Canis lupus familiaris: one gene and its partners. The protein of the gene in region 1 interacts with the protein of each later gene in a pairwise test. Links are inferred from orthologs where the notes say so. Each region holds a gene or a part of one and is shown in the gene's direction. Other genes may lie near its edges. The genes, in order: CCDC136, RAB33A, NEBL, PRPF31, FAM107A, HMG20A and LENG1.

Region 1 (3,500 bases):
GCCTTTAACTTTCTGCTTCTAGAACATGATAAGTCCATTTATCCTCTTGACCATCCCAACCTCTGGGCTTTGCAGGTGAGTTGCGGTCTCTACGAGAGGAGATTTCCCTGTTAGAGCGTGAGAAAGAAAGTGAACTTAAGGAAATAGAACAGGAGTTGCACTTGGCCCGGGCTGAGATCCATAATCTGCGGCAAGCAGCAGAGGATTCCGCGACTGAACATGAGAGTGACATAGCATCCCTGCAGGAGGATCTCTGCCGGATGCAGAATGAACTCGATGACATGGAGCGCATTCGGGGAGAGTATGAAATGGAGATCACCTCCCTCCGTGCAGAAATGGAGATGAAGAGCTCTGACCCATCCAATAGTTTAAGTCTTTCAGATTTCTCCGAGATGCAAGGTATGAGAGGGCAAACCCCCTTCCTGGCCTGCCAGTAAAGCCGAGCAGAGGGAGTTAGTATCCAAGAAAATGGTGGAAGGTGGTCTTAGATCATGAATTGGGAACCTCTAGAAAAAACCTCCACGTTTAATTCAAGACCATAAGGGAGAAGAATTTATCTAGATGTCACATAACCAGTCAGTGGTGGTATGAGAAATGACACTGTGGAGGTGTATTCTGAGAATTCTTCCTCAGAGAGCCATTGGACGTTTGTTGATTTAACTATGGGAAAGCGCTTCCTGAGAAAGTCTCCAGGATAAGGGGTTGATCACCTTGAGAAACTTCCTGCAGCTCTGGCATCATGGCAGTTTGCCTGGACTGCGCGTTATGGGCGGGGGGTGGGGGGGGCTCCAGTCCTGCTCCCAGGTCCCAGGATGCTAATGCTTAGGCTCCTTGAGCCCTCTCCAACGTAGAAGCTTTAGGGGGCAACAAATCAGAGCACAAGACAGCTGGAGAGGAAGAGAGGTTATTTCCAGTAATACATGAAGTACTAAAAAGCTTAGAGCTCTGCTTTCAGACAATGAGTCTCCCAGCTAGTTGCTAGGATTCATGACATCAGAGTTTGCCTTTATTCTGAGGCTAGATTTATGATTTGGGTATAATGGGAGGCCCTGTATTAGGCCAGGTCAAGCAGAGGCAGTCAACAAGGAATCAAAGAACTGTGATTTTTTCCCAGCTGTAACAAGTTTCTCAGAAGAGCATTTGGGCTGGTGGTGCCAGGAGAGTGAGGCCAGCACAGTGGGAAAGCTTGGGTCAAAGTTAAACAGACCTGAGTGCAGAACCACAGTTCTGCTAATTAGTGGGGTGAACTTGGCCTGGTTATTGTCTCTCTCTTAGTTTCTGTGTCTGTAAAAATTGGTTAATAAAACTTTACAGTCAGAGGGGATCCTGAAATAGGAAGGGACCTTAGGGAAAATGGAGAGGAATCTGAATAAAATGTTGAGTTTAGTTAACAGTAATGTATGAATATTGATTCCTTAGTTGTGACAAATGTACCCATGGTAAGAAGTTAACAATAGGGGAAATGAGATGAGAGCTCTCCCAGGGAGTTTTACACTATCTTTGCAACTTTTCTGTGACTCTAAAGCTATTGTAAAATTAAAAGTTTATTTAAAAAAAAAGGGAAAGAAAACCTTACAGGACTATTTTCGGGATTAAATGAAATGCCTAGTATGTTGAAGTCCTCACAGACTAGCTAACTGGAAGGCTGAAACCATCAAGTGCTAATGCTTAGCACATGGTTGGCTTATATTAAAAGTTAGTTTCCTTCCTTCCTTCCATGGTAATCTGCAGTACTCCAAAAACTTTTGGTTGGAATAAAGAAGGAACATTAGATGTGAATTTCAGGGTGTTGACTCTTCCAGCAGGTACGATAGACCTTGTGTTCTAATTGGAGCAAGTCAGTATTCTTTAAATATCAGTAGAATTGGTATTCTAAGATAAATAATTCTTAATCAGGAAGAAACAAAATAGATAGAGGTGTTTGTTTGATTGTAGCTCCAGAAAGTATTAGTAGCTGGTACTTAGGGACATGTGCTGGGTCATTGCAACCAGATCTCTGCTGATGATTGAAGGTGATATGTGGGTCTGGTGGGGATGGGCTCTTCTGTCAGCTGATAAAAGATCTTCAGAATGAATTCTTGACCACATGCAGGCCAGTGTATTTGGTGTGGTGATAAAGTAAGTAAAAGGACGTTCAGGATGCCCAGGTTGTCTCCAGAAGGCCAGGACTGGCAGTGTGACGCGGCAGTTTCACATCCCTCAGCTTTTGTACTAAAAGAGTAATAGGAAGGTAATCATCAATGGAAACTTGAAATATAATAACCCAGAAACTCAATTAAAACCTTCACGAGCTCCTAAAATCTCAAGACTCTTCCTCTGTTGGGGTTCTGAAGATGGGTACACAGGGCAGATCTGGGCAGATGAGAAGAAAGGCAGCTATGTGAAAGAGGATAAAGACACATAGCAGTGTGGAATTTGGGGGGTTTTGTCTTCTAAGCCACTGCATGCGGTGTCTCTTCAGTCTTTAGAAAAAGAGAAGCTATTCAGCTTTCTGCTATCTGATTTCTAAGCAGGAAAATTAGGGGCTGATTACCAGTGCTTCTTCCCCAGGATCTCACACGTCTCCATTTGTCCTCTGCAGAAGAATTGCAGCAACTGCGAGAACGCTACCGCTTCCTGAACGAGGAGTACCAGGCCCTGCAGGAGAGCAACAGCAGCCTCACGGGGCAGCTTGCGGATCTGGAGAGTGAGAGGTATAACCAGCAGGCTAGGAGGACTCTTAGGACTCTGCTTTTGGCTTTTCTCTGAATAGAACCAGTGAAGGCAGATGCTAGGCTAATAAATGTCCCTCTACTTCTACCCAGCCAGTCTTTTCCACAGATGCCACTTAGAAGCAAACATGGAGAGCCAAGTGTCTCAGGACTGGAGTTCTAAAATTTAGTTTACTTCCATTCTAGGGATTGGGGTCTGGTTTGCTCTGCCCTAGAGTTGATCACAGTGATTCCTTTCTTGTCCACACAGGCTGAATTCAGTCAAATGGTGTAGTACCTCCCTCCAGATTAGAGCTGGCTGGATACAAGGCCCAGCCTTGAGCCCAACTAGACTAGCATTGTTAGGTCTCCCAGAGCCAAGCATGCCTTGATTGAGGTACTGGGACTTTTTCTTCACCTTCTTGACATGTTTATTTGGAAGACAAATCACAATATAAGGCTCTTTACCATCTTTGCCTAAAATAAAGACATCAGGACCAAGCACCCTTACCAGGTGATGCCAGGCAGAGCACTTTCCCAAACATGGTTCTGGGGTTCTGGATTATAGGACACGAAGAGCAACAGAAAAGTGGCTGGAATCCCAAACGCTAAAGAATATGATGTCAGCAGAGTCTCAGACTTCAGAAATGGATTTTCTAGAACCGGATCCTGAAACTCACTTGTTGCGACAACAGCTTCTGGGAGCTGAAGAGCAGATGCATGACATGCAGAACAAGGTAGGGGAAGGCAGGCACCGTCACTGTCTCTCTTTTACCCTCTCCTGGCCTACAGTAGCAACATCTCCTTAGA
Region 2 (4,151 bases), on another chromosome or scaffold:
GATATGCCTAATTAATAGTTACCCCTCCCCTTTTATAACTACTCTTCTGTAGATAATGATCACCAGGAGCATTGTAAATACAGAGGAGAATGATGCAGCAAACTATATTTAGACATCAGCCAATCAAAAAACCAAAATACTGTACAGTGAAGATTGCTATTCATACTGTACAACAGTAGCTGGTATTCATCATGATGACCTTGGATTAGCCACCTAAGATTAAATCCTTCTCGAGTTAATTCTGTTCTCGAGATGGTTTTAATACTGAATAGTATAGTCTAGGGTTTTACAAATGGGTGACTCACGTGTATTGGAAAAGAGTTAGCTATAAATATATCTGCTAACTCAGCTAAAAAGCTTATTAACTAGAAGACCCCAAGTTTTCCCAGCCATTTTGAGTAACTTGGACTTGGCTGAGGAATCACGTTCCAATTTGCTTACAGATCTATCACCGATGCACTAAATTGTTTTTCTCATAGGGGGAATGGACTGCCAGGTTTGTCTCTTCTGCCACTCAGCTTCACACACAAGTAAGATGGCAGTGCATGTGCACTGCTGGAAACCTGACTTTGATGGCATTAGCAAATAACTCGTATGTCCGTGCTACTGACATATGTCAATATTGCCTTGCCTTAGCCTATGAAATGCGTTAGAGGAGGGATAAAGTCGTAAAAGCAAACAAAATGGGTGCACTTTATTGTATGTAAAATGTACCTCAGTAAAGTTGATTTCAAACAAGCCAATTATGAACCTGCAAATCACCCTCAGGAGAAGGAATGCAGGTCTCCACCAAGATGTATGATGCTTAGTAAGCTTTGGGAAGCTGCCCCTTAATACCGTAAGAAAGTTCTGTTCATTTATCATCTTCCAAGCATAATCCAGGCTTCTGGCAAATTAGACCCAACCACTTTGTTCTACATTCAGTTGCAGAGGGTTGAACCCTCCCGTGTGTGTGTGTGTGTGTGTGTGTGTGTGTGTGTGTGTGTTCCAATTCCTTTTGAAACTCCACCATTCTGGAAGGACTTCTTATCCGGACGTTATATCATATGGGAGACACTGTGAGGTTTATGCCAGTTCCTGAGATCCCTCCACCTGGGTCTGTAATGGTTAGCCTTGGAAACAAGGTTCCCTTTTGCTGGAGCTGCTACCACTAGCTTCCCCCCTTCTCCTACCCCCTGTATGGCCCTCTCCGGCGGCGGGCCTTCCCCATTGGCCAGCCAGACACAACCGACCGCGACAGCCAATGGAAACCGCTCTCCTGAACATTCAGAGGATGGGTGCTCGTGGTGTGATAAGGGGAGGTTGGCGCCTGGCACGCGCCCCCCTACATCTGGCAGTCGGTGACAGAGACAGTAACTCCCCCTACACACGCACAACCCGTGCCCCTGGCTCCTTCGTGTCAGCTGCGCGGGCCCCCACAGCCCACGGCACGTCTTGGCAGCGCCCCCCCCCCCCGGCTACTTGGGGCGCGCGAGTGCACCTGCTTACTCAATAAGACAGTATCTCTTTATCCCAAGGCCTGGGAAGGGGCCGAGGAGACGCGGGAGGTGAAAGAGGTATCTCTGCCCCTCCCCCCCAAGTAGTGTAGCTCCGGGCCCGAAGTGCTCCAGAGATGCTTTAGGGTGCAGCTCTCTTTGTCCTCTCCAGCTGTGCTCCCAGCCCAATGGCCCCGTGCGCTCCGAGAACGTGGGGGCGGGGAGCCCGCAACCTATAAAATAAATGGGGACAAGGAGAAAGGAAGACCTTTCCCTCGCGGCGTGTGCCGCTCTCACCCCCTCCTTTCCCTCCTTCGGCTTCCTCCCTCCGGTGTGTCCCTGGGGTCCAGGCAGGGGAGGGTCTAGGTGGAGGCGCGGCGGCGGCGGCGGCGGCGGCCTCTCGGGGAGCGCCATAGGAGCGCCTGCCCGAGCGTCCCGTCCGAGGGCACAGGCAGAAGGGGAAGGCTCGCGGCCGGCTCATTCCCCTCCTCTCTCCCCGGCTTCCTGGCTTTTGTGTTGGTGCCTGGGAGCTGTAAGGAGGGTGCGCTGGCGAGGGAGGGGGGCCTGGGGTGAGAGGCACCCCCTTCACGCGCGCGCGCACACGTTGCGGGCGCACGCACACACGCGCGGACATACACTCACAGACACGCACACACACACGCACAAAGCTCGCTCGCCTCGAGCGCACTAACGTGGCCGTGTGGAGCCCTCGAGGGGGGTTGGGGCCCGGGTCCGGTCCGGGGGAGATGGCGCAGCCCATCCTGGGCCATGGGAGCCTGCAGCCCGCCTCAGCCGCGGGCCTGGCGTCCCTGGAGCTCGACTCGTCGCTGGACCAGTACGTGCAGATTCGCATCTTCAAAATCATCGTGATTGGGGATTCCAACGTGGGCAAGACCTGCCTGACCTTTCGCTTCTGCGGGGGTACCTTCCCGGACAAGACAGAGGCCACCATTGGCGTGGACTTCAGGGAGAAGACCGTGGAAATCGAGGGCGAGAAGATCAAGGTGATCCAGATGGTCAGGTCCGGGAAGGGAGGGGTCTGGGAGGGGGCTTCGCCAGAGGCATTGCTCTCCTGGTTTAAACCTCCAGCGCGTGGCCCTGTCGCCGCTCACAGAGCCCAAGACCCTCAGCACCTCCTCATTCCCTCCCTTTCACCTTTCTCAGTGGCCTGGTTTCCACCTCGCCGGGTTTTGTTTTGTTGTTTTTTGGGGGGTTCTGTTCTGTTTTGTTTTTTAGGGCTGGCGAGAGTGGATACACTCCTGCCCTTTGCCCCTACCTGACATCTGCCACAGGGAAAGCCTGTCTGATCCCATCCTTGACCCTGAGCCAGGAGCAGTGGCACCTGTGGGCAGAGGGCAGAGGGAGGCATGAGGCATCTCTTGGTCCTGGTGTGTGGGATAGATCCCAAAGCACTTTACACATCCTGGAGTCTCTTTTACCTCTTGGGTGTGAATGGGCTGCAAAAACCCACTTTGGCTTAGCCCTGAGGCATTAGCTGTGTGTGTGTGTGTGTGTGTGTGTGTGTGTGGAAATTCACAGTGAATGAAAACCACTTTATTTTAAAATGACAGCCTACCGGGGATCCCTGGGTAGCTCAGCAGGTTTAGCACCTGCCTTTGGCCCAGGGCCCGATCCTGGAGTCCCAGGATCGAGTCCCACGTTGGGCTCCTGGCGTGCAGCCTGCTTCTCCCTCCTCCTGCGTCTCTCTATATATGTCTATCAAATAAATAAATAAATAAATAAATAAATAAATATTTAAAAAAATGACAGCCTATGGTTAAGATTAGGGCTGAGGTGGAATAGGGGTGAAGTGGGGTGGTTCTGGCACAAAGCCATGAGCCCTTTTAAAGCAATTGAGACAGGGTCACCCGCCAGTCCTTCATAACAAACTTGTTCTTTTGGAGCAGTCTCTTTCCAACGCTATCTTCTTTTTTCTGGGATACCTAATGAATGAACTGCTTCATTGCTCATTCTGTTGGTATTGTCTTCAGCAGGTCTTTGTAAAAATGCAGAGCAACTTATCTGAAGGCCAAGGGAAAGTGTCTTGCTCCTCCCCCCTTCATTAGTTTATTTATCAAATAGGCAAAGTACGATATTCTTGTCTGACCATTTATGTTCATTTTGATTCAGAAAAGGCAGAAACTCGACAGGGCAGAAATAGTTCATTGTGCAGAAATATTCCTATGTGCAGAAGGAGGACATGGCAAGGGCGGCTTCATGTGTCAGGGGAGCAGAGGGGGGCAGGATGATGGGCAGGAAGGCACCTCAAAAGGCACTGAACATTAAAGACCAACTCCACCAGGCCCACAGCTGGTCTTCTCTTGAAGCTATGGTGTGACCCTATTGGGTGAAGGTCACCCTCCCTCCCGCTGGTCAAAGAGCCCAAATGATCCTAAGGCCCCTCTTCTGAGTGATGTGGAGAGAAGGGCTGAGTAGTAGTAGGGAGAATGATGAAGCACTCTAAACCGTGCACAAGTCTGGAGTCCTTGATTATTAAAATGACTGTGTTTTTATTTTATCATTATTTCTTAAATGGATGTATTTTAAAATGGCCTCAGAGACTGGGCAGAGGCACTGGATGTCAGGAAGATGGGCAGCTCAGTACTGGTAAGGGAGAGCTCTGGAGAACAATTGAGCCCCAGCATCAGTAAGATAGGGCACCTTTTTAAAATAGTG
Region 3 (3,500 bases), on another chromosome or scaffold:
AGTGAAAGGCAGAGAATTGGGAACCGTGTTGTCATGATCCGTCAGTAACTGTGGTGCGGTTCACGTGCTCTCCTGTTCACGACCCAGCAGTGTCCCCCAACCCTTTCCTCGGCTGCTCAGTGACCCCCTGCCCCATAAACCTCTTTATGAAATGGAAGTGGCCGTTGCTCACTTTACGTGGAATTTGTGGGAAGGAATGAAATGCCTCTGAAGTGCTGTTAGTTCTTTCATCCTTGGCGTCTGTCATGACTTTGGAATCAGGTAATGGCACTGAGCTTTGAGGAGAGTCTGACTGAATTGAGAGGTGAGAAATTTAAAGTTGTGTCCTCACAGGCTTATAAACTGTTGTAATGGTGATGGTGGTAACCCTACTAGTCAGGCTGCAAATGATAGGAACCCAACTTACACTGGGTTATGCAACAAAGGGAATGTTTTGGCTTGTGAATAGAGAAAGTCCAAAGTCTATTTTCTTTGAGGTTGGAATTTGAATGATGTCTCTCTTCCTTCCTCTCTCAGTTCTGTTATCTTCTCTATTGCTTCAAACTTGGGAGGCTATCTCTAAGCTATGGCCCCTCCTAACAGAGGGATAACTCATCTGTGCCAGTAATCCCAATGGGAAGTGAGCATCTGTTTCTTATAGTTACAGTTAAGGTCCTAGGAATGAATCTCATTGGATCAACTTCTATCCTGCCCTAATCTACACCTGCCCTAATCATTGTGTCTGGGTCCAGAGGAGTGTAATGTGCTGATGATCTAGTATGGTTCTCATGGTCATTCATTTGTTCAGTTAACTTCTTTGGTAGTTTAATTGCACTGTAAGTACAGAAGATTCAAGGGGCACCTGGGTAGCTCAGTTGGTTAAGCATTTGCTTTCAGCTCAGGTCATGATCTCAGGGTCCTGCGCTCGAGCCCCGACTCAGTCTTCCTGCTTCTCCTTCCCTCTACCCCCTACTTGTGCTCTTTCTTGCTATCTCTCTCAAATAAATAATAAAACATCTTTTTAAAAGAAGGATTCAAAATTATTATGTTTTTTAAAAAATTATAGCCATCTTTGGCTGTATCTGTGTTCTTTAAATTTATTAAAGCATTAAAAGCCACTGTCATGTCTTTGGTTAATATTATCAGCACATATTCCTAAATTAGTAATTCTGACCGATTCTTCTGTTATGGTGACATGTGCAGTTCACATTAAGAGGTCGATCTTGTGATCACTTGTCAGTAATACTTGGAAATATCACTTCAGACTCTCAAGCGCAGAGTCCATCCAGAAACAGTTGAATGGCATGACAGCGGCAGGAACAGCAGTGAATCAGCCTTAGCACATGAATAGAGGAGTAAAAGACCAAAAGAAGTTTTCAGTTATTGAACACCTACTATGTGCTGAGCACTATGTTATATGCAGTCTCATTGATCCTTGGAGGGCTCGTGCATGGAGGAAATATTACCCCCATTTTGCAGATGAGTAAACCATAGATGTTAAGCATTCCCAGTTTGAGTGCTCTGGCCTCAAAATCCGCATTCTTTCTACAGCATCAACTCATTTAAACCCACCTCCCTCACCATGTATAGAAGAAATCTTCAGAGCTTCATATAACCTTCTTCAGTGAGAATAGTGATATAGTTCTAAGCCGTTCAGAAACTTAGTTCTAGGTGATCATTTCATGGTACAATGTAAAACGTGTTTTCTTTCTTTCTTTTTTTTTTTAAATGTGTGCAGCCATTTTTTGGTATCCTTGATTACAGATGAATGTCTGTCTGCAGAGTGTCTAAATATTATAAAATGTTGCTTTATTTATTTATTTATTTATTTATTTATTTATTTATTTTTACAGAAAGAATACAAGAAAGACCTGGAGTCAAAAATTAAAGGGAAAGGAATGCAGGTTGGCACCAACACCCTTGAAATACAACATGCCAGAAAAGCTTCAGAGATAGCTAGTCAGGTTAGTAGAGTAAATGGTGCAGATGCCTTAAAACCTTTATTTTGGAACTTTGCAAATCATATTAACAGCCTGATTAGTACATGGAATTCCCCAGAATTTTATGAATAGTTTAAGAGTTTGGAATGGAAACCATTCCAGATCATCATGCTTGTTTGAAAATATATGGTTTCTGCTTTACTCATTTTCTTTAAATATCTAAGAAACGAGGGGGAAAGCATTTTACTAGAACACACACACAGGCCCTTTACAATACAACAAATACAACAAATTTCACATTCATCTAGACTATAATAAATGTTCTCATACTATGTTTTCTTTAAGGATAGGTCATGTGCTGTTTGGTGTATTTGTGTTTCCAACTTTCTGAACAGAACTTGAAAATTCTGTGTTGAGACTCTGACATGACAGTGATAACCATTTCTGTATAATTTGGTTGCATGTTCTCAAAATACCCCGTTGACCTCATCACCATGCCTGAAATTCCTACAGGGTTAGCATTTTGGATTGAAGTATTCTATATATCCTGAATGACCATGTTCGTTCATCTAATATTTTCCTCTTTGTGTAATGCATGTAATGACAGGATATTAATTTAGAAGTTTTGGCTTAGATGCTCTGATATGATAGATAGCAGATAACAAAGTTGTAGGAGTCAGACCATATGTGCATTTTTTGAAGAAAATGCCCCAAAACCAGTTCCATACCTCTTGAACTCCTCCAGCAATTCCGAGATTATAGAAGTGTCATTGGAATACAGAGTATTTGGGAAGAGGTGATTTTTTGAGAAACATTTAAAAAGAGAATGTTGAGATGCAGGTAAGGAGTACTGCTCACTTACCTCAGGGCTGGCTGCGGAGAGTTTTAGTGGGATTCCTCTGAGAACTATAATGTGACCCTTCCATTTAGGAAGAGCTGGCCCAGGATAGACTCCCCCCACCACCAGGAAATCTGGAGAGCTAGAGATAGCTGATTAACTGCCCAGTGAGCCCAGTGAGTCACTGCTGTGTTGGGATCCGCTTACGGCCCCAGGTTAGGGACTGGTCAGGGTAATGGGATGGTCATAATTGGTTTGGACCAAGAATCTGGGGATGGCATAGGAGTCTTGACCAATAGGGGTTTTACTTAGAAATGGCAGATTTGGGGGGGCGGGATGCATGCTGAATAGGCACTGGACCCCTCCTTCCATTCTCCTCCTGAAATATAGCCATTGTTGCAAATTTATCCTGCTGGATCTATTTTTATGTGTAGACAGATAAACATACACTTATGCACACATAGACTTAAAAAGTCCTTAAATACCATGTATTTTGTTCTGTGCTTGGTTTTCTCACTTAATATTATGGAACCTTTCCATGTTACTTTGTATAGCTTTACCTCATTCTTAGAGAAAAATTAAGTGTTTCATAACAAGGATGTGGATAGGAAACCATTTACCTTTTATTACACTTTACATGCAAATGACATGGAAATGGAATGGAAATTTGCAGATTGGACCAGATTCTTGGAAAGAATAGAAGTTTTGTATTTCAGACTTTCACCTAAGAACAGACTTCTAAG
Region 4 (3,500 bases), on another chromosome or scaffold:
GTTGAATAAATGCCAGCCAAGCACGGGGAACTGTTCTGAGGGCAAAGATTAGAGAAGTTTGCAAAGGGGAGGCGGGAGGCTGCTCTGCCCGAGCTCCTGTCTAGGAGGAAACAGGTGCAGGTGCACACACAGGTCAAGCTGGAGGGCAAGTGTCAGAGTGCAGATGGGGTGCCAAGGGATACTTATCCTGCTGGGCTGGGTGGCTTCCTGGAGGAGGTGACGACTCCATCTCAGGCAGGGACCAGGCTCTAGTGGGAGAACAAGTGGGCTCTAGCTTGTCCCTGATGGGGGCAGCTATGAGCATGAACCCACTGGACTTTGGTTGCAGGGCCTGTGGCAGCCTCCATGGTCCCCCTTAGTGCTCTTTACAGCGTGGGTGGGGTAACTGAGGGAAGGGTGTGGCTGGGTGTGGTTACCAGCTCTGCGGGTTGGCCAGTCCCCTTTGCCATCTCACCCTCGGGCCCCCCCTCTGTAAAACGACAGTGATAACAGCCCCCCTTTGTGGTTTTCTTCCACAAGTACTTGGTCAGCATCTTCCATGTACCAGAGATGGGCTGGCCATGCTGCTGAGGATCAGGTGTGGGGTCCCTCTTCAGGGGCTGACTGTCTCCCGTCAGAAGTGGACGGAAAGTGGGGAGGCTGTAAACAGGCACAGTTTGGCAGCTGGTAACAGTGGGCCTCTGGCTGGCGAGGCAGAGACCTAGAGGATGAGGAAGAGTAGTGGAGGCCCACAGGCAAAGGCTCTGACACCGGCTTGCACCTGGCAGAGACTGGCATGGGCAGGCAGGCCCTGGCCGGCAAGGGTGGTGCCCTAGGTTCCTGGCAGCTCCTGCTTCCAGGCCTTAGGGCTGACGGGACTTGGAATTGCCCTGACGTGCACATATGTGTACAGACGTGCACACACCGCTAGGAGGACACGGGCTCTCATGCTGGTCAAGTGGGATCCCCAGGAGGGGCAGGGGTCCAACCCAGTCACATCATTAACCACTGCAGGCAACAGCTGTCAGAGGAGGAGCTAGAGCGGCTGGAGGAGGCCTGTGACATGGCACTAGAGTTGAACGCCTCTAAGCACCGCATCTACGAATATGTGGAGTCTCGGATGTCCTTCATCGCGCCCAACCTCTCCATCATCATTGGGGCATCCACAGCCGCTAAGATCATGGGTGAGGCCCTGGGGTGCGGTAGAGATATGGGGCCATCCTCGGACAGTGTGACCTTGAGGAAGCCACGTCCCTCCTCTACGGGACAGGACCCTACTCCCCCTCACCCTCATCCTGTCATCCCTCCTAGAGATCACAGAAGTCACCCAGCCTGCTATTCCTGCACACACGGAGAAAGGATGGCAGCCCTGAGCCAGGCTGGACTAGGCAGGCGCAGGAGGAGATAGCATGGCTGCTGGAGAGGCTGGCCCTCCTCAGCTCTGCAGAGACCCTAGGGCTGCCTGGCACTGGCTGTGTCAGCTCTTAGGATCTCGGTTTCATGCATGAGGTGGGGTGCCAGTCGGGACGATGTGTTAGGGCTGAGGGTGGTGCCTCATCTGCCAGCATGCCCTCTTGGGCTCCTAGCCCCCTCAGCTGAGGGATTCTTTGGGGGAGTTTGGTAAAACAGCTGTGCTAGGTTGCTCAGGCTGCCCTAACAAAGTGTCGCCGGTCGGGGCAGGCAGTGGGGGCCTTACCGGGGGTTCATTGTCACACAGCCCTGGAGGCAGGGAGGCCAGGAGCAGCATGTCAGCAGGCTGTGCCCTGCAGAGGCCTCTCTCCTCGGCTTGTAGGTGGTCATCTACTCACATGGCCTCCCCTCTGCCTGTTTGTGTCCTCATCTCTTCTTACGAGGATGCTGGTCACACTGGATCAGGACCCATCCAATGATGTCATTCTTTTAATCACTGCTTTCAAGGCCCGTCTCCAAACACAGTCCCATTCTGTGGTACTGGGGTGTAGGGCTTCAACACAGGAATTCAGGGAGACACAGCTTAGCTCGTAGCGCAGCCTTGGGTGGCAGGTGTGTGCATAGCTGCAGGGCAGAAGGAGGCAGTGGTTTCAGAGCAAGATAAACTTATCAGGTGTGGATCCTCCTTCCCCCTTCGCTGACCTCGCATCTTTGGGCAGGTGACATCTCATACCTTGGTTTCCCTGGTGGTGTGGGGCTTTGCTCCTGTCCTATGACTGCGGGGCTAAAATTAAGGTATTAGTTCCTGTATAGAGTTTCCGGGAAGGGATCCACTTCTGGCTTTTTCTGGCTTTTAGAAGCTTCCTGCATCCTCCCACCTGAAAGTCTCCTGTTTCACATGCCTGTGACTCTGCCTTTCCCTTCCACTACCCTGTCTCAAGGTCCTTCACATAATTATATCTGCATAGGGTCATAGGTTGTAGGGATTGTGATGTCTGTGTGTGTGTGTGTGGGGGGGGGCGTTCTTCTGCTCACACATGGATTGCCATGCTTGTGTGGGAAGCGTGTGTTTGATCAAACAGTTGACCTAGTCCTTAAAAACGCCCAGTGCAGGGCCTGGCACAAGCAGACCCCTGTCAGAGGTAGGCATTTTTACCTACAGCTCTTCCTCCCCTCCCCTGGGCCTGCAGATGCGCTCACGGGAACCCAGAGATGATTCACATTAGGCCCTGTCATCAGGGTGTCCCCAGTATGGTGGTAACTGTTATAAAACAGAGCAGGGGCTGTGTAGCTCTGCAGACTTGGGGGCAAGTTCCTGTTGGGCTGCTGCCTCACTTTCCATCCTCAGGCAGGTGATTTCACCTCTCTGAGCCTCCTCTGAATCCTCCTTCTGAAAGGGGACTTATCAGGCCCTCCCAGGCAGAGCCCACCCAGAAATTCAACCAGAAACTCACCTAAAGGCACAAAGCATTCGGTGAGCCCCCAAACAAATGTCCTGTGTTCCTTCTGACCTGTTTCCCTCCTTCCTGTTGCAGGGGTGGCTGGGGGCCTGACCAACCTCTCCAAGATGCCCGCCTGCAACATCATGCTGCTTGGGGCCCAGCGGAAGACGCTGTCCGGCTTCTCGTCCACGTCTGTGCTGCCCCACACTGGTTACATCTACCACAGTGACATTGTGCAGTCTCTGCCCCCGGTGAGTGCCACTGGCATGTGGCTCCCCGCAGAGCCTTTTGCTGGGCCAGAAGCAGCCTTGTCCAGAGGGCAGTGTGAGCCCAAGCAAGTTGCCCCCTCTGCTCCTCAGTTCCCATTGACTAGGAGCTCAGAGGATAGGGTCACACGGGGCATAGGAACAAGGACCCCAGAGCAGATGTACAGGGGTAGGGATTCTGGAGCTCTACTTAACAACTGGGCAAGAGGCATGAGCTGTGCCTCAGTGTTGTAAAATGGGGGAAATAGAACCTGCTTCCTGGGGTTGTGATTAGGACTCCTATATGAAACACTTCCAGGTCTTGCACATAACAAGCGATGTCATTAGCTTGCAAGTTGTAGGGGTCTCCAAGCCATCCTTGGGTTCAGTAGCCCACTAGAGGGGTGTACAGACTCCAAGTTGA
Region 5 (4,071 bases), on another chromosome or scaffold:
AGTCAAGGGAGAGAGATGGAAAACCTTCCCAGCAGAGAGAACAGCATGTGCAAAGGTGCTGGGGTGAGGAGGAGGGTGGTATGATCCAGGAATTGTCAGGCAGAGAGGGGAATGGGAAATGAGGTCTGAGAGGCCAGCAAGACTTCATGGAACAGAACTGTGTTGGACCATGGGGAATTTGATTCTATGGGCAAAGGTGGATCTAGAATACTTGATCCTGACCCTTCACTACCAACTGCCATTTCATAATCCTTTGTACAATAAGTCCTCACCACCCCGGAGCCAGGCATTGTGCTAGACAGAGGAAAGACAGGGCTGCAAGTTTTCCCTGGCCCAGCCATCTCTTAAGAAAGGCTGTTCTGCTTAATCAAACTGGTTACCTGGGACTTGCCAATGGGCAGTGGTTTTATCACGAGTGGCATTAACAGCATTATAACAAGCAGCACCTAACTTCTCTGGAAAATTCCTATTCTCCAAATCCTCTGCCCAGAGCTTTACACAAGTCACCTCATTTCATCCTCAGGGCCCCATGGGGTCAGGGGCCATCGTTACCCCTCTTCCGTCAAGGGGGAGAGTGTAAAACAGAGAATAACATCATCTGATTTATGCTTTAAGAGAACAATGGCTCTGGCTGTGCACACCGACTTCTTTCAGCCATCAGAGCAACCCTGTGCTGTGTGATTATAGGAGCACACACACGAAGAAACGGAGGCTCCCAGAGGTCAAATCATGCCCCCCACCCCCACCCCCACCCCCTGGGTCATACAACAGTGAGGAAAGAGTTGGGTTTCAAGCCCAGGCTGGTTCGGGCCTTAACCTCCTCGCTCCATGCTGTTGATAATAATGAAGGAGGGTAGCAAGTAAGGAGGAGGGTAACTGCTGGGGGAACTTTGAGAACTTGGCCCAGGGCCCGGAATCCAGCCTCCAGATAGTCTCCTGGCCTAAGCCCAGACCAGCCCTCCCCAGCTGGGCTACTGTCCTGTTGAATGAAGTACTCTGCTCTCAGTGTCTCCGCTCCACGAGAGCCCTTGCCCCCAAGTGTCTTCAAAGATCTACTATTAATGGGGCTGCTGCCCAGCCCGAGGTTTACATCCCCACACAAGCCAAGCCTGCCCTGAGCCCCATACCCCAGCTAGTCCACACAGCCTCCACTGTCTGGGGCCTGTCTGCTGATCGGTGCCCAGCCTGGCAAGAAGGCCAAGTCCTGCCTGCTGGGCCAGCCAGAGGTCACCCGCTGTACTCAAGCTGCCGGCCGCATGGTGAGAGGACGGCTTTGCTTCTCACCTCCCCACGGATGCCTCAGTCTCCCCTCCTGAGAGAGGCAGGGGTGCAGGAAGTGAGGAGCTACAGGGACCACAGGACGTGTGGGCCCTCTGGGGACACCATACCCCTCTGACAGGATCAATCACCCTAAGCCTGTCTGAGGAGCTCTGGGCTTAGGAGCAGCTGTGAAAGCCTCCTTTGTGCCTGAGAAGAATGAGCCACGAGAGGACGGGGGACCCTGGCCCAGGGAACCCCTTGGGCCCCAGCTCCTGAGATCAGCATCGGCAGGGAGGACCCCAGCCGGGCCCCCCAAGGCCCACCCAGGCCTGGTGCCCGCTTTGTGCCATGGGAGCAGTCCATGGGAAGAAGGTAAGAGCCCCCGAGGGTCCTGCTGGGTCCCTGAACATGGGGAGGGAGACTGCACCTACCGGGTGGGAGCCCCCATCTACCTACCTGCCAGCTCCATGGGCCTGAGCCAGGCACTGCCCACCAGCCTCCCTCCCTGAGCTCACAGCCAAGATTTGCATCTAGAAACCTAGCTGGGGCTTAGGACAAAGCCTTCGGATCTCTCCACCCCTGGAACAGACCTGGACTGCCCAACCTCACAGGCTCTCTGGTCTTAGACACACACCTCTCTACTTCCCTGCATACAGGCTCCGTGGCCGCACCTTCCCCGTGTGCCAGGGAGCACCGGTGGGCAAGTTACTGACGCTTCCTGTAAGTCATTTCCCCATCTGTAAAATGGGGACAATAGTCACTACCTCAGAGGCTTATAGTGAGAATTAACTGAACAAAAATATATGTAAAGTGTTTCAAACAGTGCCTGGCACATAGTGAGCTATATATAAGCTATGTTCTGTTATTAGAGTTCTCTTCACATTTTTATGCATCACCTTCTATGTCTGGGCTCTCAGTTGGAGATTTGTAGACAGAGCCTATGCAGTGTTTCTGAAAATGTGGTCTATAGAGACCCTGTGTCTGCATTAGAGATGGGGCATGGGAGGGGGCTTGCTCCACAGTCTCCTTCTTAGGGCTCACCCACACTTCCTGGATCAGGGGAAGGGGAGGCAGGGCTCCCCAGGGATTCTTATACACGCACTCAGTCCACATCACCAGGACTGTGACCCCAGCGGTAAGGTCAGGCTGCCTGGGCCCTAGCTCCTCCACCTGCCTTATAAGGAACTGAACCCCCCTGGATCTCTGGATCTCAGCTCCTCACCTGTAAAGTAGGGCTGGTCCTCACCCCTTGGGAGGGGCCACGAGAGGATGCTATAAAGTATGTAGCATGCAGCCTGTCACCCAGACAACCCTAATAAACGGGGGCTCTAACCCTCAAACAACTATGGTTCTGCATGACTCTAAATTTTCTGCCAACCGAGCCCAACCCACATTTTTCAAATTTAAAGTAAAACACATCATTGGCAGTCCCCATGGAACAAGCTTTCTGGGCCTCAGTTTCCTCATCTGGAAAATGAGCATTGGGTTAGATAACCCCTGGGGCCGCCTTGCACCAGCCTCTGCTCCCAACCTCCTTTGTTTCGGGTGCAAGTCAGGCCTGGAAACTCCTGCCTCCCCTCAGCACCCCCAGCAGCAGTATCCTAGAAGGTTGTTGTCCTGGGGCTGTCCCTTCTCCATCCCGCCATGCTCATGGGAGCCCCCAGTTGCTGTTGTGGGTCACCTGCTGTTCTTGTGTCTTCTCTGATACAGCCCAGAGCTGCCTTCCCAGCAGAGCTTTGCACCCTGGCCCCACCCAGCCCCCTTCAGGAACATTCTTCCAGCTTCTCCCCTCTCCCAAGGGAGAATGAGCTCAGCCTCTAGATCCTACCTGTGCAGGTGCAGTCACCTTGGAGAACGGCTTCTTCCCAGGCCTGGAAAAGACCCCGACAAGGTCTAGCCTAGGAACAGCAATTACAGCTCACAGACTGCCTCTCTCTCTCCTCTCACCGGTGACAAACTTCACGAATCGGTCCCTACACCCTTTCCCACGAAGTCCAGATGACCTCAGAATCTTCCTCAGCACAGCATCCCGATCAGAACTAGCCCCCAGACTGAAAAGCAGGCATGTGCTGGGCCCAGGCCCTCCTCCTGCCCCCAGGGAGAGGCTGCCCCCCAGGGAGAGGCCGCAGAGGGTGAATGGGAACACGGGCTCTGAGGTCAGACACACCTGAGTCAGTTCTTCCAAATACCCGGGGACCGTGGACAAGACAGGACCTCAGGTTCCAACCCCATAGACTAAAGATAATAATCCTTCTCACACTGTTGTAAAATCTAAATGACACCATGCCTGGGGATGAAGTAGATCCTTAGTCAACGTTCGTCTCCCTCTGGGTTTGATCCTCTCCTACCTGCGTCCTTGTCAGCTCTTCACACCCTCCCTTTGATCCACCAGGGGCATTAACATCACACCCATGGCAGATGAAGAAGCTGAGTCATGAGCCAATGTGACTTCCCACAGCCAGCCAGTGGCTGAGCCAGCCTGGAGCAGAGGCTATGAGCCGGCCCAGGCCAGGCCTGCTGTGGGGCTCCCCCGTCTGTGGACCACCCCCCAGCCCTCCCCCACACATGCCTCCTGCTCTGTTTCTGGAGGCAGTAACCCAGCTGGCCTCTGCAGGATGTCTGTGACACGCCTGGGCCGTTTGAGGTCTAGCACCCACTGGCCTGTGCTATAAAGGTCACGGAGCTGTCCTGGGGGGCTTCTCGGACCCCCTTCCCACACTCATGGCTTAACCATAGCTATAAAATCAGTTCTGGAAAACCCCTGGCAAAGTGGTCCAATCCCTTCCCCATTGTACAGCTGGGAAGACCGAG
Region 6 (3,500 bases), on another chromosome or scaffold:
CCTGATACTAATGTAACATTGTTTGTCTACTCTACCTCAATAAGAGAGTAAAGGGGGAAAAAGAATTAACTGTTTTGTTACTCTTGATTCTCAGAAAGAAACAGAGGTAAAGGAACGGTCTGTTTTTGACATTCCTATATTTACAGAGGAATTCCTGAACCACAGCAAAGGTAATTGCCAAAGTGTCATTTTGTGTTTCTCAGGTTTGGGGGGGGTGGGGGGGTGAGATTTCATTCTCAGAGGGATTCATTGCTCAAAATTGGTGGTAGTGATATTCTTGACCCTAGGACTGTTCTGAAAGGAGAAAACTGTTTCTATTTCACTTTGTAGTAAAGGTAGCTACTCAAAAACTAGGGAAGGAAAGCAAGCCAGGCCAGTTTTGTCAAAGCTACTTTAATCTCTGGATCAAAGGGAGTAAATGTGCATCACTAATTCAGTTGCTTTCAGACTCTTAGCCTGAAACCCTTTGTACAAATGAAAGCTTACATGGGCATCCAGAATACAAAATAAGGAAGAGCAAAGCTGACCCCACTGCAGTAAAGATAGAGACCCGCAGCTGTGCTCGCTCCGTCTCCCAGGGTCCGCCTGTGAAGCCCCTCAGGCTTCTCCCCGCGCGGTTTTAAAAACAAAATAAACAAATACCAAGAATTGCAACTGTTCCTTGCAATCTTAAGTAGGAATATGACCAGCTTTAAGAATTAAAATAGCTCTGGGGAACCAGGCATTTTATTGCTGAAATTGCTATCTGGAAGGCTGTAATGAGAATAGGGAGATGCGGTGGGGTAGCTAATTAGACAGCTAAGCAGAACTTCCTTGCACGCGCCTTTGGGACTCTCGGAGACTCCCGGCGCTACATGTATCGTGTGCGGGGGGGGTGTCCCCAGCTCGGGAGGCCGAGCTCCGCCAGCTCCGGAAATCCAACATGGAGTTTGAGGAGAGGAATGCAGCCCTGCAAAAGCACGTGGAGAGCATGCGCACAGCCGTGGAGAAGCTGGAGGTGGACGTGATCCAGGAGCGGAGCCGCAACACCGTCTTGCAACAGCACCTGGAGACCTTGCGGCAGGTGTTGACCAGCAGCTTTGCCAGCATGCCCTTGCCTGGTAATGTCACCCTCACATGAGTGAGCATTCGGTGCTGGGGAAAGGAGCAGGTGCTGTCTTGTGTCGCTCGGGATTAGTGGGGTGAGGCTGAAGTCTCCCCACCAAGAGGAAAATCAATAAAATAAGGGTTTTCTTTCCTCAGAGGTTTCTGTGGGTCTTCGAATAGTATCTCGGTATTGGTTACAATCATCCAAATTTTCAGGCTCTCTGATCATTTAAATTTTTCTCTAATTATATTTTAATATAATTTACTTATCTTTCTCTTAAGTTAATTTGATATTCAGAATGGTAGAAACTGAGTAATAAATCCTGAGTAGAGCATTTTTCTTATATATGTTTGATAGCTTTATAATTTTGTTTTAAAAGGAAGGAAGAGGAAAACAGACACTGGTATTTTTTATATCCTCTCTCATGTTAAGGATAATCACAGCATCTCTAACTTTTTGTTATATGCAGCTACTCATATATACTGTAGAACAGTTATATAGCCCATCTTTTTATTCAGGATATGTGGATTAATTTCATTTCTTTGAGGTCTAAAAGTCTCTCTTCTGAAATGAAAATCTTATCTGTGGAACAGACCACATTAGAGTGGTTTACTCTGGAGTCACTTAAGTGTGCTTTGGTCGAACTGAAGAGGGAGGATTTTCTTACTTTCTCTCCTTATCTCACTTCAGGAAGTGGAGAGACACCTACGGTGGACACCATTGACTCATATATGAACAGACTGCACAGTATTATTTTAGCTAATCCCCAAGACAATGAAAATTTCATAGCTACAGTTCGAGAAGTTGTGAACAGGCTTGATCGTTAGGGAATGGTGAGTGTTCACTGATGCAATATGTATGTGCCAACACATCATCAAAAATTAGAAGACAGTAGACTTTCTCAATGCTACTAAAACCCTGGCATTACATCAAGTAAATGAGTTGGAGGCTTGATTAAAATTACTTTTACATGGTTACTAAATGTAGTAAATAATGTTAGAAAAGACTTCTTTCTAATGCATGCCTCAGCATGGTTTAATGGAAAGAGCATGATTTTTTTGTGGTTGAACCTCCATTCCAGCATTGTTAGCTATTAGCTGTATTCTCCAGGGTTAGTTTCCCAAAGGGTTTTCAAGAGTGAATGAGGGAGCAGTGGGGTGGCTCAGTGGTTGAGCGCCTGCCTTTGGCTCAGGTCGTGATCCTGGGGTCCTGGGATCGAGTCCCATATCAGGCTCTCTGCAGGGAGCTTGCTTCTCCCTCTGCCTGTGTCTCTACTTCTCTCTGTGTCTCCCATGAATAAATAAAATCTTAAAAAAAAAAAAAAATGGAAGAGTGGATGAGAAGTTTAGGGAAATCACCCCCAAAACAGCACTTAGAACAAAATAAATATCACTTAATTGTTAAGCTTCCTTTTCCCTGGAAAATACTAATGATAACTTACAACAGCAGTCACTGAGACATTGTATGTATCTAAACCTACGGAAGTAAGAAGCTTTTCATTCAGCACTCAATATCAGAGCAACTATTGTATGTTAAATGTTAATGTGGACTATCCTTACAGTGAAACAGCTATTGCCCTATTTAAAGAGATTAAGACTTTTAAAAAGGGGGTGGTGGGGGCACCTGGCTGGGTCAGTCAGAAGAACATACAGCTCTTGATCTTAGGGTTGTGAGTTCCAGCCCCACGTTGGTTTACTTAAATAAAATAAAAAATAAAAAGACTTTAAACCGATTTTAAAAATAAACTCTCAGTAAGCAAAAAAGAGAGGAGCGAGAAAATAAGCCTTCTAAAATAAATTCAACAAATGACTAGTAGTACATGTCATATCCTCATAGAATAGGAAGAAAGTACATTTCCAGAAAGTCTCTGCCCATAGAAATTTTTTTTTTAATTTTTTTTTTAATTTTTTTTTATTTATTTATTTATGATAGTCACAGAGAGAGAAAGAGAGAGAGGCAGAGACATAGGCAGAGGGAGAAGCAGGCTCCATGCACCGGGAGCCCGATGTGGGATTCGATCCCGGGTCTCCAGGATCGCGCCCTGGGCCAAAGGCAGGCGCCATACCGCTGCGCCACCCGGGGATCCCAGAAATTTTTTAATACTAATAGTCATCAAGTGTCATTTCTTAAATAGAATTCGTATGTGTTCACTTAAATTCCTAGAGCTAGGGTGCCCTGTAATGTGCCATATCCCACCAAATTGGCAACCCTTCGTCTTTAGGTCAATGCCAGCACACTGTGGAAATCCTAGCACCGTATGGTGAGGGTGGAAAAACAAAAGTAGACAACAGGATATGCTCCTTACAGTGGCTAGTCGTGGGTTTGAATATTTATTTGTCCTGCAGGTACACGAGCACACTCATAAACATACTCATATTCTAGCATGTAAAGCAAAATGTATGAGAATAAATAA
Region 7 (4,115 bases), on another chromosome or scaffold:
TCTCCTGGCTCTGGCCATCTCCGCTGTTCCCGTGCTTTACAGCATCTTCCTGTAAGTGTGGCAGGGGCCTGCCTCTCCCTTCTCCTTCCCTCCTTCCTTCCACCCTCATCCAGGATTCTGAATCTTGGCCATCCTTGAACACTGTCTCTGACTTCTTCAGGATCCCACCTTCTAAGCTGTGTGGTCCATTCCAAGGGCAGTCGTCTATCTGGGCCCAGATCCCTGAGTCTATTTCCAACCTCCCTCAGACCGTCCAGAACTTTCTCTTTTTCCTGGGGACCCAGGCTTTTGCTGTGCCTCTTCTCTTAATCTCCAGGTGAGGGAGCCCAGAATCCTGGGTCTGAGTTTGTGTTCCCTGGGGGCCCCTACTGCCTGTTTCTAAGAAAGGAGGGGTTGGGGGCCAGGACTCCTGGGTCTGAGGAGGGAGGGGGCTGGGGGCCTGGACTCTTGGGTCTGAGGTTGGAGGAGCCTGGACTCCCGGGTCTGAGGGAGGAGGGGTCTGGCGGGGGTGGGGTGGGGCTGGGAGTCCAGATCCCCGGTTTCTAAGGAGCCTTTACACTGAAGATATGCTAAGAGCCCCCTGGGTATGGCTTCCATTTCCGTCCCTATAGCATCCTGATGGCATATACCCTGGCCTTGGCTAACTCCTATGGACGTCTGGTCTCTGAGCTCAAACGCCAGATAGAGACGGTGAGGCAAAGCGGGTTCATGGTAGGGGGTCCTGGATGTTGAAAGAAATGGTGGGGAGCGGTCGGCCTCACCTGCACTTCTCTTTACCCTTTACCTCTACCCAGGAGGCGCAGAATAAGGTCTTCCTGGCACAGCGCGCTGTGGCACTGAGCTCGGCCACCGGGGCTCTTCGACCTCCCTAGCCCTGCTCGGGACCATGGCCCACTTCATCCTGCCCCCGGACCCTATGGAAGCCCGCACCTCATCTGTAAAAGAGAACTTGAGAAGACCCTAAGTCCCCGGCTGCGGAGATTTCCGGGGCCCTGACACCCCCTCACTCTCGCGTTAACCTTTCTCGTACCAATAAACGCCGCTGAGACTGCAGAGCGCTTTGTTTGTAACTTGCATCCTGAGCCGGCCAATCAGATTATCGGCCTCGAGAAGGCCAGCCAATCAGCGGCCGCGTCCCGTAGCTTCAGGGCGGGGACAAGTGATTGGCTCAGGACCTGGTGAAGAGGCGGTCTCCAGGCTACACCAACCCGAATTCGGCATCTCAGCCAATCAGCGCTCGCTACGGACTTGGAGGGGCGTGGCAGCCAGCCCAGGGCCAATCCGTAGCTGAGGCAGGAACAACAGGGAACGGCATCCTCTCGCCAATAGAAAGTGCTCAGAGGTGGGCCTGCAGTCGGTGGACGGCTACGACGCCATGAATATCTTGCCCAAGAAGAGTTGGCACGTCCGGAACAAGGACAATGTCGCCCGCGTGCGGCGTGACGAGGCTCAGGCCCGAGAGGAGGAGAAAGAACGTGAGCGGAGGGTGCTGCTCGCTCAGCAGGAGGTAAGCCCCGAGTGCGGTCGGACGCGACTCCCGGGCCGAGCGCGCAGGCGCGTGGGGGAGGGGCCGGAAGCGGGATGGCGCACACGCGCAGTGCCTCCCGTGAGGCTGGAGGAGCTGGGCGCGGTTGGAAACGCAGGGGCTCGCCTGCGCGGGCCCTACCTGAGGCTTCCCCACCTGGGCCTCCCCTTTGCCCTGGTTTCCGCCACTCGTTTTGCGTGAGGCCGGGGTGTGCCTGGCTTAGAGTAGGGGCTGCTGAAAAAATGAATCCTGTGCAGTTCAAAGAAACGCAGACCCACGTTTAGTGTTCCTGCCCGACCCCTCTGGAGCGTCTGCTGTATGCTCGCCCCGAGCAGAGCGCTGGACCTGCTCTGTTCGTGCCCAGAGGGCACTGCCCTCCGCTGTGCAGAGAAGTGGGACGTACCCATCCCCCTGTGGGGCCAGCCCTCTCCCCGCGGCCCCCAACCCCGGGGGTTCTCGGAGTAACTTCTAGCTTCTAGTGTGCACGGAGTTTGAAGTTTGTTAACGAATCTGGCCCTCACCGCTGGCCGGGAGGTGGTCTGGGCTTTTAAAGCTCACTTTGGTCAGCAGATTGCACGTGGTCGAGGGACAGTGATCTGGAGCCTTACTGTATTTCTGGTCGCCTGCTCGCAAATTTTGGGCTGCCTTCCTAGCTGTTTTTATTGTGCCAGCTGAGGTTGGGAAACCCTTCTGGTTCACCAAAGGCAGCGTACAAACCCAGGTGTCACCTCATTCTCCCATCCTCTCCCCCAGGCTGGGTGATGCTCTGATGAGCCCTCAGCACCAGCACGGGGATTCTCTGTGCTTGGCACCGGTCTCACAGTTCTTGGAGGCATGGCTAGGCAATGAATGCTCTGCCTGTAACTTTCTTTCCCCCAGGCCCGCACAGAATTCCTACGGAAGAAAGCCAGGCACCAGCACTCGCTACCTGAGCTCCAAGCAGCAGAGGCGGGAGCCCCCAGTTCTGGCCCTGTGGACCTATTTCGGGAGCTGCTGGAGGAAGGGAAAGGGGCGACCAGAGGCAATAGAGAGTATGAGGAAGAAAAGCGACAGGAGAAAGTAAGCTGCGCGCCCCCCCCACACCCGTCCCTGTCAGTCAGGGGTAAAGTCTGGGGTGACTGATGGGAACAGAGAGGTAGGGTGGGGATGAAATGAGCTGACACAGAGAACTCAGTACTGGAACACAGCACTCCCAGTGTGGGTTATTGGCACCCTCCCTGCAGGGGCTTGGAAGTGGGTGCACGGCACTGTCAGGTACAGACCCCTTGGGCTGATGTCAAGACCCTGTGGAGGTGTATTAGGAAGCTTTTTCATCTAAATCAGAACCTGGGTCCTGTCACTTACCCACTTTCAGGGGTTCCCACCAAACTCTGAACTTGCCTTTGTCTCGCCTCACTCCTTTGCCTTGCTGGCGGGCTTTCAGGTTCATCTTTAAAGTATCTCCCCAAAGATGCTGCCTCTGAACCCTAAAGCAGCTGCACCCTGTCCTTCCCCCTTGTGTTTTTTGTTATTGAATTGACACTCTGCCCAGTGCAGGAGGCCCACCTGTCCTTGGAAAAATGGCTGAGTTGACTCATGCTGCTTCTACCTGTCCAGGAGCCTGGGGGATTCTGTTGTCACAGGTAGGGCTCCCTGAGTGGAGACATCGCTGACATCCTCAGTTCCCTCTTTCTGTCCCCCTCAGGAGAGGCAGGAGAAAGCTCTGGGCATCCTGACCTACCTGGGCCAGAGTGCAGCAGAAGCCCAGACTCAGCTGCCTTGGTATCAGCTACCCCCACGGCAAGGGGCCCCCCAGCTCAGCCCAGGTCCAGATGAAAAGATCAAGAACCGCCTGGACCCTCTACAGGAGATACAGAAGCACTTGAGGAGGAAGAGACGGCACAGTGGGGACAATGGTGGCCATGGCAGGAAGGGGAAGGAGAAGCCTGAGAAGCAGCGGCCTGAAGTGTAAGGAAGTGGGCAGCTGCATTGGTGCTGTCAGGGTGAGGGGCTGGGGGCCTGGGGAGGCGGCTCGCCACGTGTGGCTTTGGGGCTCCAACGCCCTAGCAGGGGGTCTGCAGAGGCAAGCTGGTTTTCCTGAGCCCCTGTGACCCTTCACTCAGCCTTGATTGTCCAGTGGCTTCTAAAGAGACAGGGCGTGAAGAGACACTGTGGTGACTGGGGACGTAACCTTGTTTCAAGGTTTTCTCGCTTCTATGCAAAATAGCAATAGATGAAACCCACTGACACAAAGCTTTCTGGGGTCTAGTTTGAGAACCACGGGGTCAGTCAGAGCAGGTTTGTGTCCCAAGGAGGACAAACCTGAGCAGGTCTCCTAGCTCCTACAGAAGGAGAAACTGAGGTCCTGGCTGTGCTCATCATCATAGCTCATGATTTGGAGGGGCATCAGGGGCAGTGATGGCAGTCCTGGGTCCTTGCACAGCATGAGGCCAGCTTCCTACCCACAAACCTCTCAGACCAGAGCAGGTAGAGGTGGACGGGGTTCCAGGTGGGGCAGCTCCTTCTTGGGGGAAAGTGGGACCTCTAGGGGCTATAAGCTTTCTGACCTGAGTGTTCTCCCCCCAGACCCCCATCCCTGGACCAGCTTCGA

Evidence for each region.
Region 2: the proteins of CCDC136 (region 1) and RAB33A interact in binary tests that used the Homo sapiens proteins (3 or more experiments, as listed by UniProt). The two-hybrid records come from large-scale screens. The link is inferred for Canis lupus familiaris from reciprocal best matches to the Homo sapiens genes CCDC136 and RAB33A.
Region 3: the proteins of CCDC136 (region 1) and NEBL interact in a two-hybrid assay, tested with the Homo sapiens proteins (2 studies listed by BioGRID and IntAct). The two-hybrid records come from large-scale screens. The link is inferred for Canis lupus familiaris from reciprocal best matches to the Homo sapiens genes CCDC136 and NEBL.
Region 4: the proteins of CCDC136 (region 1) and PRPF31 interact in binary tests that used the Homo sapiens proteins (3 or more experiments, as listed by UniProt). The two-hybrid records come from large-scale screens. The link is inferred for Canis lupus familiaris from reciprocal best matches to the Homo sapiens genes CCDC136 and PRPF31.
Region 5: the proteins of CCDC136 (region 1) and FAM107A interact in binary tests that used the Homo sapiens proteins (3 or more experiments, as listed by UniProt). The two-hybrid records come from large-scale screens. The link is inferred for Canis lupus familiaris from reciprocal best matches to the Homo sapiens genes CCDC136 and FAM107A.
Region 6: the proteins of CCDC136 (region 1) and HMG20A interact in binary tests that used the Homo sapiens proteins (3 or more experiments, as listed by UniProt). The two-hybrid records come from large-scale screens. The link is inferred for Canis lupus familiaris from reciprocal best matches to the Homo sapiens genes CCDC136 and HMG20A.
Region 7: the proteins of CCDC136 (region 1) and LENG1 interact in binary tests that used the Homo sapiens proteins (3 or more experiments, as listed by UniProt). The two-hybrid records come from large-scale screens. The link is inferred for Canis lupus familiaris from reciprocal best matches to the Homo sapiens genes CCDC136 and LENG1.

Annotation. Positions count from the first base shown.
Region 1 is NC_049235.1:7,699,469-7,702,968, reverse strand, and holds part of CCDC136 (coiled-coil domain-containing protein 136), read left to right. Parts: intron 1-75; coding exon 76-399; intron 400-2,581; coding exon 2,582-2,693; intron 2,694-3,258; coding exon 3,259-3,427; intron 3,428-3,500. UniProt on the Homo sapiens protein: May play a role in acrosome formation in spermatogenesis and in fertilization.
Region 2 is NC_049260.1:102,208,457-102,212,607, forward strand, and holds the start of RAB33A (ras-related protein Rab-33A), read left to right. Parts: upstream 1-1,351; 5' UTR 1,352-1,556; intron 1,557-2,179; exon of another isoform or gene 2,180-2,181; 5' UTR 2,182-2,221; coding exon 2,222-2,479; intron 2,480-4,151.
Region 3 is NC_049223.1:9,996,046-9,999,545, forward strand, and holds part of NEBL (nebulette), read left to right. Parts: intron 1-1,832; coding exon 1,833-1,943; intron 1,944-3,500. UniProt on the Homo sapiens protein: Binds to actin and plays an important role in the assembly of the Z-disk. May functionally link sarcomeric actin to the desmin intermediate filaments in the heart muscle sarcomeres.
Region 4 is NC_049222.1:103,839,247-103,842,746, reverse strand, and holds part of PRPF31 (U4/U6 small nuclear ribonucleoprotein Prp31), read left to right. Parts: intron 1-993; coding exon 994-1,163; intron 1,164-2,924; coding exon 2,925-3,082; intron 3,083-3,500. UniProt on the Homo sapiens protein: Involved in pre-mRNA splicing as component of the spliceosome. Required for the assembly of the U4/U5/U6 tri-snRNP complex, one of the building blocks of the spliceosome.
Region 5 is NC_049241.1:32,298,413-32,302,483, forward strand, and holds the start of FAM107A (actin-associated protein FAM107A), read left to right. Parts: upstream 1-1,271; 5' UTR 1,272-1,608; coding exon 1,609-1,632; intron 1,633-4,071. UniProt on the Homo sapiens protein: Stress-inducible actin-binding protein that plays a role in synaptic and cognitive functions by modulating actin filamentous (F-actin) dynamics. Mediates polymerization of globular actin to F-actin. Also binds to, stabilizes and bundles F-actin.
Region 6 is NC_049251.1:39,282,365-39,285,864, reverse strand, and holds part of HMG20A (high mobility group protein 20A), read left to right. Parts: intron 1-94; coding exon 95-170; intron 171-884; coding exon 885-1,100; intron 1,101-1,777; coding exon 1,778-1,914; 3' UTR 1,915-1,920; intron 1,921-3,500. UniProt on the Homo sapiens protein: Plays a role in neuronal differentiation as chromatin-associated protein. Acts as inhibitor of HMG20B. Overcomes the repressive effects of the neuronal silencer REST and induces the activation of neuronal-specific genes.
Region 7 is NC_049222.1:103,811,649-103,815,763, forward strand, and holds the start of LENG1 (leukocyte receptor cluster member 1), read left to right. Parts: upstream 1-1,315; 5' UTR 1,316-1,375; coding exon 1,376-1,507; intron 1,508-2,404; coding exon 2,405-2,584; intron 2,585-3,209; coding exon 3,210-3,472; intron 3,473-4,090; coding exon 4,091-4,115. Other genes in the region: TMC4 (transmembrane channel-like protein 4), read left to right, coding at 1-51, 161-316, 612-690, 795-872.